Canis lupus familiaris: one gene and its partners. The protein of the gene in region 2 interacts with the protein of the main gene of each other region in a pairwise test. Links are inferred from orthologs where the notes say so. Each region holds a gene or a part of one and is shown on either strand. Other genes may lie near its edges.

Evidence for each region.
Region 1: the proteins of DACH1 (region 2) and FGF12 interact in binary tests that used the Homo sapiens proteins (3 or more experiments, as listed by UniProt). The two-hybrid records come from large-scale screens. The link is inferred for Canis lupus familiaris from reciprocal best matches to the Homo sapiens genes DACH1 and FGF12.
Region 3: the proteins of DACH1 (region 2) and RNF14 interact in binary tests that used the Homo sapiens proteins (3 or more experiments, as listed by UniProt). The two-hybrid records come from large-scale screens. The link is inferred for Canis lupus familiaris from reciprocal best matches to the Homo sapiens genes DACH1 and RNF14.

The regions. Positions count from the first base shown.
Region 1 is NC_049255.1:24,009,421-24,013,077, forward strand, and holds part of FGF12 (fibroblast growth factor 12), read right to left. Parts: intron 1,775-3,657; coding exon 1,656-1,774; 3' UTR 1-1,655. UniProt on the Homo sapiens protein: Involved in nervous system development and function. Involved in the positive regulation of voltage-gated sodium channel activity. Promotes neuronal excitability by elevating the voltage dependence of neuronal sodium channel SCN8A fast inactivation.
Region 2 is NC_049243.1:25,917,927-25,921,583, forward strand, and holds part of DACH1 (dachshund homolog 1), read right to left. Parts: intron 2,591-3,657; coding exon 2,455-2,590; intron 1-2,454. UniProt on the Homo sapiens protein: Transcription factor that is involved in regulation of organogenesis. Seems to be a regulator of SIX1, SIX6 and probably SIX5.
Region 3 is NC_049223.1:36,063,211-36,066,867, reverse strand, and holds part of RNF14 (E3 ubiquitin-protein ligase RNF14), read right to left. Parts: intron 2,073-3,657; exon of another isoform or gene 2,060-2,072; 5' UTR 2,044-2,059; coding exon 1,890-2,043; intron 1,515-1,889; exon of another isoform or gene 1,349-1,514; intron 838-1,348; coding exon 686-837; intron 1-685. UniProt on the Homo sapiens protein: E3 ubiquitin-protein ligase that plays a key role in the RNF14-RNF25 translation quality control pathway, a pathway that takes place when a ribosome has stalled during translation, and which promotes ubiquitination and degradation of translation factors on stalled ribosomes.

The DNA of each region.
Region 1 (3,657 bases), on a different chromosome or scaffold from region 2:
ACTTTGAAAGAATACAGCAACCAATGGCAAGGTCATTTAAGTGAAGGCCTAGAGCTTCTGCAGAGTGTATATATTTTAGGGAGTTGTATTTGGAACAATACATGCTGGACAGTAGAGCTATAGGAGAAGTAACATGCTAAGTCTTCTCATTGGTAATATCCATAATTCTGCATACACTTTTTAAAATTCTGTTTTATTTTAATTTGGGTGTCTCTATACCACTCCTGATTTGTAGGACTAAGTACGTCTATTTTTTCCAAGGCAATTGTATAACATTCATTTCTTCCCTGATATTTTTCTAATCCTTTATTATTACTAACTATGCATTTGCCTAGTCCTTACGCTGAGGGTTCTTTTTTTTTTTTTTTTTTTCACACAACGGTATGTTGGAACCATAGCTGTTAATTCTGTATTGTTTCTCTATGCCCCTTGAAAATTCAGTATATTAAGTTCCCTTCTATGTTCTAGGAGTCAGACTTACTGTCAACTAAACTTATTAACAAAGTTATATAACAACAAGCAAGCCACTGGCTTCATGACATGGTAAGTTAGGAATTTCATAGCCATGCCTCCCAATTTCTTGGTGAAGTTTGGAAAATGCTACATACATAAAACTCTGGTAAGGTACAATGGCAAATACAATTTGCTTTAACAATTTCCTAGGACTTATTTCCTTACGTGAAACCCCTTTTTTTTCTTTCCTGCTGCAAGAGATGGTACAAAACTCTCTAACACAGCTGGACATGCACCTGTACTTTCAAAAGTGTGCACAATGTAAAAAAACAGACCACATGATAAGACCATATGACTTATTCATCACCGCCCAGGCATGACAATGATACAGAATTCCCAAAAGTTACCTCAGCCTTAGAACACATTTTTTTTTCCTAAAGGATGAATAAAAATGAGATCCTGGATTAATTCCTTTGATAAAAATATTATAATCTTCTAGGTTAATCTGAAACTCTTTTTATGAAGGAATGAAATCAGCTAATATCATTAAATTCAACAGAACTCTGTCTTTTGCATAAAATAATTATAAGTAACAACTTCAAGAAAAAAATTTTTAAACTTTTAAATGATTCCTGGCTTATATCATACAGGCATTAGAAGAATCTATGATTTGTACATGTTCAATATCATGATTAAAAAAAAAATCCTGGAGACAGGATGTAATTATGTGTCAATTCCAGATGCCCAAAGAAAATTCAAATTCAACACAAAGCACACATCACAGCATTACCCAAAGTTTAAATTATTCAGGGTATTACATTGATTTGTAAGTTCAATTCTCCAAAACCCTTGTCTTTAAGATAGTAACTTTATTTCAAATTTATTATAGTTATTGTCTTCATTATAATTAGCCTCTATTAATAACAGTACAATGTTGTGATGTCTTGATTTATTTTTTCCCTTGATTTTATGTGTGCTAATATTTGTGCATGTGCATTTTCTACCACATTGCAACAGGCAAGCTTTGGTTCAATTTCTTTGTCCTACACAAAGGAAGATTTTTGAGTGCAGAATCTTAGTCACTAGGTCCTGGATTGCCATTTTATTTTCCTCTCCTTGGGTGGATTTAATTGGAAGGAAATAGGTAAAGGGGAGGGAAAAAAGGGAAGGGATGAAAGAGGGATGAAGGGAAGAGTTCTCAGCTATGTTGAATCTTGATTCACGACTTTGCCTCCATTCATGGTTGGTGTTCCAGAACTTTTCCTTGAACGCCCTTGTTTTTCTCCAATTTCATGTAGTGATGGCTCTCTGTACATACACACTGAAAAGCAAAATTACATCAATTACTTATAATTGTAGACATCAATTTGGCCTCAATAAGCATCTCAAGTTTGATTTTACAATATTCTTCACTCTCATTCACTAGCTCTCCTCCCCAGTGTAAAATGACTTTTAACTTGATAACATATTTATTGGATATGTATGGTCCTCTTCCAGTTGTAGCAGTCATAACCTTTTAAGTCTTCTTGAACTGCGGACATAGAGTGATTTCTGTTCTCCTACAGATAAGGCTAGAATCTTACCTGTCTGCTAACCTATATAACAGGATTTTCATCTAGAGTTAGAGGAGACACTGCAAGTATAACATTAAAAGCGTAGGCATAGATACTTTTTAAAGTCCTGAATCTGCAGTCTAGTTTGCATAGGAAAAAAAAACCCTTATTTACATGTTCCTAATCTTTACCCTACTATAAGAAACACAACGCTGTTAGATCAAATTGAAATATTTATCAACAATTTTCAGGGTATCCTACATAAAAAATGACAATAGGAGGGAGGACAGAGGAAAATAAACAAACCAAATATCATTTTCCTGATTGCTCCAGGTTTGAATATGCAACTGTGAGATTTTAGTTCACATTTATATAAAACTGTTCCTCTTTCCTCCATTGTTTTGTCTGGCTCTAAAGCTCAGTCATCTGTGAATTATCATGGCTATTGCTAGATAATTGCACAGAAAGAATAATATTTTTCAACTCATAGTTATTCTTGTAAGATAGGATCTTCGTTCCTTACATTGTTGTGAAATAGACAAATGTGTACAAGCATATGAAATATTTCACTTAAACATCGGGAATTATTTTTATCCTTGATTTAGGAACAAACAGTTAAGTACCTCCATGTATTGAATCATCAATACAGGGCTTTAGTAATCTAAATGCTCTTTCTAATCAAATAGCTTCCTTGCCTGGGCTTTGCCCTGGTACAGGAGACCTGAGCATGGCTATGACCAAATAGATGTCATGTGGTGGTTAAGAGCACCAATCTGGGAGCCACACCACTTGTGTCCCCAACTTCAGTCAGCCACTCACTAGTTCTGTCAACTTAGATACACTGTTGTAGTTAAAAAACTAAATTTTTATGAGAATTAAGTGCCTGGCATATACTAAACATCCAAAGATGTTTAAGAAAATGAAGGAGCTGATCTCTTCATTAGAATTTTGAATAACAGATTTCAGAGAACAAAGTGATAGTTTTGAGGGGTGGCTAAAGATATTCTAAATTAAAAACTAGATTAAGAGAGTTAAGATACAAAAAAATTCTCTTTAGACTAGTTTAGTGATGAGGACACAGGTTTTTTTTTCCCCCTCAATATTTCAGTGGTAGAGCTTCTTCTTCTTCTTCTTTTTTTTTTTAAAGATTTTATTTATTATGAAAGACACACACACACACACACACACACACACACACACACACACACAGAGGCAGAGACACAGGCAGAGGGAGAAGCAGGCTCCATGCAGGGAACCCGATGTGGGACTTGATCCCGGGACTCCGGGATCAGGCCCTGAGCCAAAGGCAGATGTTCAACTGCTGAGCCACCCAGGTGTCCTGCAGTGGAAGAGCTTCTTAAACGTTAATGTGCTTTCAAATCATCCAGGGATATTTTGTTAAAATCCAGAATCTGATACAGAAGGTTTCCGTGGAGTTAAGATTCTACATTTTTAATAAGTTCCCAGGTGATGCTGGTCTTGGCAAATGGAACTACACTTTGGGTAGTACAAAATATGCAAACAAACTATGTTTGGCTAAGTATAATGTGCAAAACTATTGCACACAAATATTTTATTTTTATTTTATTGCATTTTTACATATATATTTTTAAATGAGATTTTAAAGTATTTCAATTATTACACTAAATGG
Region 2 (3,657 bases):
ATCTTCAACAGATGATTCTAAAAGGAGTGGAATTGAAGTTTGATGAAAAATATATTTATATAGTCTTAATATATCTCCTCACAAGACTTATTATTATTACTTATCATCTACAAAGGTTTAAAAAGAAAGAATAACTTTACAGTCGAGAAATCTGGTAGTCACCATCTTTACCAAGAGCTAGTTATGACAAGTATTGGAGGAATAGCGTATGTTTCCTGGAATGATGCCCTGAGAAGGACATACTATCATGCCTCTGTGATTCCTGCCAAAGATTCATAATTTAAATCTAATCATGAAATAACAAAAACATCCAATCTGAAGGAAATCCTATAAAATTAGTGACCTATATTCTCAAAAAAAAAAAAAAAAGTCAACATACTGAAAGACAAAAAAATTTAAGAACTGTTCCAGATTAAAAGAGACTAAAAGATTATGACAAATAATTGCAACATGGGATCCTGGATTGACTTTTGGGCCAATAAAAAAAAATTTGCTATTAATAATATTAGAAAAAATACATATAGTGGTAGGAAAGTTGATGAAATATGAAAAAGATTTATAGTTTAGAGAATAGTACTATAATAATCTTAATTTCCTGATTCTGATCATTGTTCTGTGGTTATGTAAGAGAAATTCCTTGTTTTGAGAAAATCAACAATGACATATTTGAGGTAAAGGAGCATGATGTCCATGTCCATGATACAGTCATTGGGGTGACATTATGCCTTTATCAAGGTTACCTCTTTCAGAGACACTGATGATTACGTGAATCTGAGTGATGAATGTGAAATAATTCTTTGTACTATTTTTGAAATGTCTGTGTTGGTCTAATTTTCAAAAAAATATGTTAAAATATGTATCCACATGAACATGTATTTGCATATATGCATATGTGTGTATATGCATTCATGTGTGTGCATGTGTACATACTTCCACTTGGACAATTATGGTAGTCCAAGCATGCAAAAATTTCTTTGTTCTATCAAGAATTAAAAAAAAAGAATACAATGATTAATTTAAAACATGAATGTATGACAAAATTCTTTCAAATTGTTCCCTATCTGCCCATAATTTCCATTTAAGTCTTGTGAAAAAATATTTTTCTTTCTCTAGAAGGACAGTGTCTTTTCAATGATGACATCGTATAAAAGCTTTAAAAATGAAACCAATATGCATCATGAAATTTCTGATTCTAGTGTTAGCATTGTACATAAGCATGGAGAAATTATTTTACATGAAAAATGGTTTGAGGTTGTGGGAGCCAAGATTTGCCAGCCATGGAAAAATGTCATTGGTTTGGAAATAGTTATATTCAGCTTTATTAATACACAGTTATCATCATCTCTTACAAAATTAGGGAAATATGTTTTAGACAGGCCAAATCAAGTATTCATATTTAGAATTATGTTGAACTATAAACTATTTAACTATTAACCATTCTAAAAATAATGGTATTACATACAATTTAACCTAGAATTTCTTATCTATCTCAATAGCATCCATAGAAAGGATTTCTGTTTATACAAATGTTCCTTTATGATTACAAAGTCACTTTCTAGCAAATATTTTCCTATTATAAAAATAATCTCAACAACCAAATAACTTCAGCAGGTTATGTGTAATTAGATGAAGTTTATACTACAAATATGATTTCTTAACATAAACTAAATCCTGGAGAGGATACAATAGAAATTGATTTTGTCAACCAGCACAATCACTGTTAATATGTTCATTGTATTGGAAAAACAATACTAGATTCTTGACACAAAATACAGATACAAAGTAATCAGTTAATTAAATGGCATTTTTAACTTTACTCTTCATTTTCTCGGTTAAATGTTTGAAAATGTGATCATGAAATAAAATAGAGCCCCTATTTTTTAGAATTTAACAATAATAATTTCTGACAATAATATGCATCATTGATTTCCTAATTCAAATCCTAAAATTCAAGCAATTTAAAATTTTTTAATCCATTGATCATCAGAACGACCAAGACTTTTTTCTTAAATGAATTGTTTTGAATTCCATTTCTTTTATTCCTCTTTCTGGTTATGTTTATCAATGCAAAGGTGAATTCTGATAATTGATACATTTCCAAACCTGGCAGGGGGTGGGACTGAGGAATAAAGTTGAGTATCACAGTCACTAGGTAACTGTGAGTTGGAGGTGTTTACTTCAGAAACTAATCGGGAAGGTTACTTTCTCTGTTTCATTGCTCAGACCTTTATGTGTGGCATCAAAGAGAGGGAGTTTATATCAGAACCTGTTAATGTAGCACCATACCTCATGATATTGCAAACTGGGAAACATAATTTTGAGAGATGGCTATTGCTACAGAGCTTCAGAACATGATACATCTGAGATCTATTTGGAATGAGGGCATTTTGATTAGAAAAGCCAGCTGCACCTAATAAAGTTTAGAGCGGTGACAAGTAAAAGTATGAGACCTACGGATTCTGTCAGAAGAGCTCTCGGTCCGGGCCGGGGAGCTGGACACGCTGCTGCTGCGGTGTGATGAAGGGTGGCTGCCAGGCCTCCGGCCCTCCTCCAGAGAGGGGGCAGGCGAAGGGCTGTCTGGGACGCGCTCCTGCGGCACCACGGGAAGCAATTGGGGGAGAAAAGATGTAAATACATGGGAACTGTACTTAATGAATGTTGATTTCCTGCTCATGCAGTACAAAAGAAATGTAAAGGAAATAAATTCATCTTTCATTGGCATTTTCACCTTTTTATCTCCTGCGAAGCTAAAGGAGGGAAAGGCTAGTTAGGACACTGGTTCTATGGGCATGCAGTAACAGCAAATGTCGATTCCCCTCTCTGGATACAAAGAGAGGCCAAGGGAGACAACCCTTTTAGAACCCATTAGACAACAACAAAGTAACAGAACAGGGCAGGTTCCAATTCTAGACGATTATCAACTTAAAGAAATCTCTATGTTCTATTGCTTCAGCTAGTGTCTAAGGATCATTTAACACACAAATTATCAATGTGACCATAATAATAACACTAGAGGGGTTATTAACAGCTTTTTCATCATGGCACTGCTCTGGACACACCTGGATGGTCACATTTTAAGGCATCCTAGAAATCGATTATTATTTCACATTGGAATAATTTTGTTGATTCTAATAATTTGCAGACCACCTGCTTCTCCAAGCTCCAATTCAGCCACATATATGTATTAGGGGAAATTCATGAAATATATATTAGTTGTATCCCAGGGAAACTTGGTATCATGTTTCCTGATACTATTGTTAACACTTAGGTCCCACTCCACATCTCTCCTGCCAAGCCCTGAACCTTCCCCATTAGACTAATGTGCAAATATATCATATAACTGTCTCCAATGAACTTCTATAAATGGAGTTACAGATTAAGAAATAAGATACTCCACTTATTAACATTTTCTTCTTTGAGCAACAAGATATTTATACCTTCAGATATCAAGGCACATAGGCCTCAAAGGACTGTCTTTTCAATAATTAATATTTGAAAGGTTAGAAGTAAACTAAATGATATGGAATAAATCAATAAGTAATTCCTTATTCAGGTGAAAAAATGCAAGTATTAAAAAAGCAGACTTTAAAAACTTTAAAGGAAAAAAGTTCTAAGATCTAATTGACTTGTGGGACATCAATTGACCAGTGAGAATGA
Region 3 (3,657 bases), on a different chromosome or scaffold from region 2:
CTTTATATTACCTTCAAGTCATATTTATGTCTCAATCAAGAGCTGAGGCTATTACTATGAAAGGATATGTAAGCCAGAGGAAATGAAGGCTTCATAATACAGGGCTTGTGAAATAGGAAATATAGGAATCCTATGCATTTCTATTTGTGTACATTTACATCTGTGGGAGACCAGTCAACATTTGTTATTAATACACAGATCTCTAAAAATAAAAGTGCTTATTATGTTGACTTAGGAAATGTGTTTATTCTAACTACATCAGCTCAATTTTAGTCCTCCTAATTATAGTTAAATCTTCATTTAAGGAATGGTAAGAAACTAAGGGAAAAAAGTAATACCAACATCTAAGGAAAATTAGGAGGACCTTATAATCTCTATTACAAAGCAGATTAAGTGGAAAAATAGCAAGATAAGGAAAATATATATATATATACTTGATTAAAAATGATTCCTACTGCAATTCATAATGACTAGTCATCCTAATTAATGTCATTCCTTTCTACAACACCAAACACTTTCAATTCATTACCATTAGGATTCATGAAGGCACAGGGAAAAAAAATTACAAAACCAAAGCCATTTGTTCTTCATGCAATGAATTCAAGATCATCAAGATAGTCTTCAATTAAAGATGGTTTTTTAAGTTTCTAAAAACGGATAGGAGAAATTAAGTTTCGGGTCTAACCTGAGTTGGTGACAGCCATTTGCCACTAAGTGTGAATGAAGGTGGGGAGGAGGATGGATAATCTGGTGGCAGTTCAAAGTTCAGCACAAGTGGAGGCAGAAAGCAAATGGTGTATTCAAAGCCACCATTCTGGAGACACTCATTTGAATTGCCTGAACCAAAAACAAAGATTAGAAAGAATCAGCTGGTCAACACTTGAGTGTCCATTACTGTTGAACAGTGCTCAAGAAGGACTAATGCTTTAGTTGAGGGGAGAAGAACCCTCCCCCAAAGCAGTTTCTATTTCCTTATTTTAACTTCATAGCCACCACCTTTAAAAAAAAAAATCGTAAGTCCTTGAAAAATCTATTAAGCACCATGATATTTCTGAAGACACATAACTTATTCTCGTGTATACTTTTGAGTACAATTCCTAACACTAGCTAATAAGTAATAAACAATGTTTTCTTCTGTTGTTTTACAGTAGATGATTACAGACACAATCTAGAGAAAAGGATGTTTATTTCTATTAAAGAGCCATGACCTACTTAGAGCAGCATGTGCCAACTACTCATGAATCATACTTGGGAGAATTTGTGCCAACACAATGATCTCAGGCTTGAGGGCAAGATACAACACACAACATTCTCGTAATCAAAGTTTCATTTAAAAAATCACACTTACTTTCTTTACTCAATGCCTTTATAGTAGAAACATTTTGAGAAAGTGTGCATCAAAGTCTTCTGTGAACGTTTGTATCAAAAGTAGTTTGGTTTTTTTTTTTTTTTTCTGAAGCAAAAGGTCACAGAATAACAGCATATGTCACAGGTTTATGGTAGTTGAAATGATTCTGGAAACCAAACAATATTAACAACCACCACGGGACTTTAAAACTTTCCAAGCATTTTTACATACATTATGTCATTTTCTCTTTTATTATCCCTATTTAACAGCCAATGACTCATAGCTGATAAACTGCTAGTTAGAAAATTAGAATGCATGAAATATGCAGGATAATATCCCAATTCGGTGGTCAAAAGGCGAATCAAATTGAGAACTATTTACTCTCAGTCCAATTTTCAATTAAAACAGAAACATGCCTTAAGTCTGTAGTACTACCATCTATCACTAATGCCTACAAACACAAGATAGTAAGTTTGAGGTACACTAAGAAATTGAGAATAACATTTATAAAAATCTGTTTAAGAGAATATTATTAACTAACCGCTCACAAATATCTTGAAATTTTGTGGCAAATCCAAATAGATCCTGGTTTCTCCACCTTGGACAGACTCTGCTTTTCTAAATTCATCTCCATCATAAATACTCGCCAGGGCCAGCAATTCATCCTCCTGAGCTTCTCGATCTTCTGACGACATTTAATTTTCTGAAGAGCTGAAGATAATCATTGAAATTAGTTAAGAACAGAAAAGGCACAGAGTTTGGACAAGCCTAGTGGCACCAAAAAAAAAAAAAAAAAGAAAGGTAAAGTTCCTTACAAACAACTGCAAAGAATTAATCACTATTTCCATATTTCCACTTTTCTGCTAAACTAGATATGATAGACATATCTAATATTCCAGTAGCATTGCAATAGCAATAACTTTTTCAAAAATGACGGTTGTGGTGCTTCTAACTGCTGCCTTCATCAGTTAAATATCACTGATTTAGAAAAAAAAAAAAAAAAAAAGCATGAATTAGGGCAGCCCAGGTGGCTCAGTGGTTTAGCGCTGCCTGCAGCCCAGGGCCTGATCCTGGAGACCCGGAATCGAGTCCCACGTCAGGCTCCCTGCATGGAGCCTGCTTCTCCCTCTGCCTGTGTCTGCCTCTCTCTTTGTGTGTCTCATGAATAAATAAATAAAATCTTAAAAAAAAATTATAGAAAAAAAAAGCATGATTTAAAAAAACTTTAAGATTTTATTTTTTTATTTGAGAGAGAGAGGGAGAGAGCCAGAGAAAGCACGAGCAGAGGGAAAGGGCAGAGGAAGAAGCACACTCCCCACCTAGCAGGGAGCCCAATATGAGGTTGGATCCCAGGACCCGGGATCATTGACCTGAGCCGAAGGCATATGCTCAACTGACTGAGCCACTCAGGCGCCCTTAAATTTTTTTTTTAAAAAGGACAAATCAGGGCAGCCCCGGTGGTGCAGCGGTTTGGCGCCGCCTGCAGCCTGGGGTGTGATCCTGGAGACCTGGGATCAAGTCCCACATCGGGCTCCCTGTGTGGAGCCTGCTTCTCCCTCTGCCTGTGTCTCTGCCTCTCTCTGTGTCTATGAATAAATAAATAAAATCTTTAAAAAAAAAAAAAAAGGACAAATCATTGGGGTCCCTGGGTGGCATAGTCAGTTAAGCATCAGACTCCCTTGACTTCAGCTCAGGTAGTGATCTCAGAGTTGTGGAATCAAGCCTCGCATCAGGCTCCATGCTCCATGTAGAGTTGGCTTGAGTTTCTCTCTCCCTCTCCTGCTTGTGCGTGCGCTCTCTCAAATAAATGAATAAATCTTAAAAAAAAAAAAGACAAATCACAAATTATTTTGATTTGCCCACCAAATCTAGCTAAGTGCCTTGCTCACAGAAGACTAAAATACATGTGATATCTTCCTAAAAATCAATGAGTTTTTTAAATGTACAGAAACCTCTAGGGCAAGTTTTCTCAACCTCAACACTCTTGACACTCGGGAACAAATAATTCTTTGTGGTGGGAGGCTGTCCTGTGCATTACAGGATGTGTACTAGAATCCCTGGCTTCAACCCACTAGATGCCAACAGCATGCCTCCCCCTCAACATAGCCAAATGTGCTTCCCCAACCAGGGGTGCAGAGAAGGGGTACTGCTCCCAGTTGAGAGCACCCTGTTCTAGAGAACATTTCAGGGGCAGATACTACAGGAGAGGGTTAGATAACTAAGGATGCAGCAAAGAAACGTTAAATTTTTAAAAATACTACCAGAGTCCGTCAAAACAATTCTAAGACTTACCATTATTTTAGGCAAAA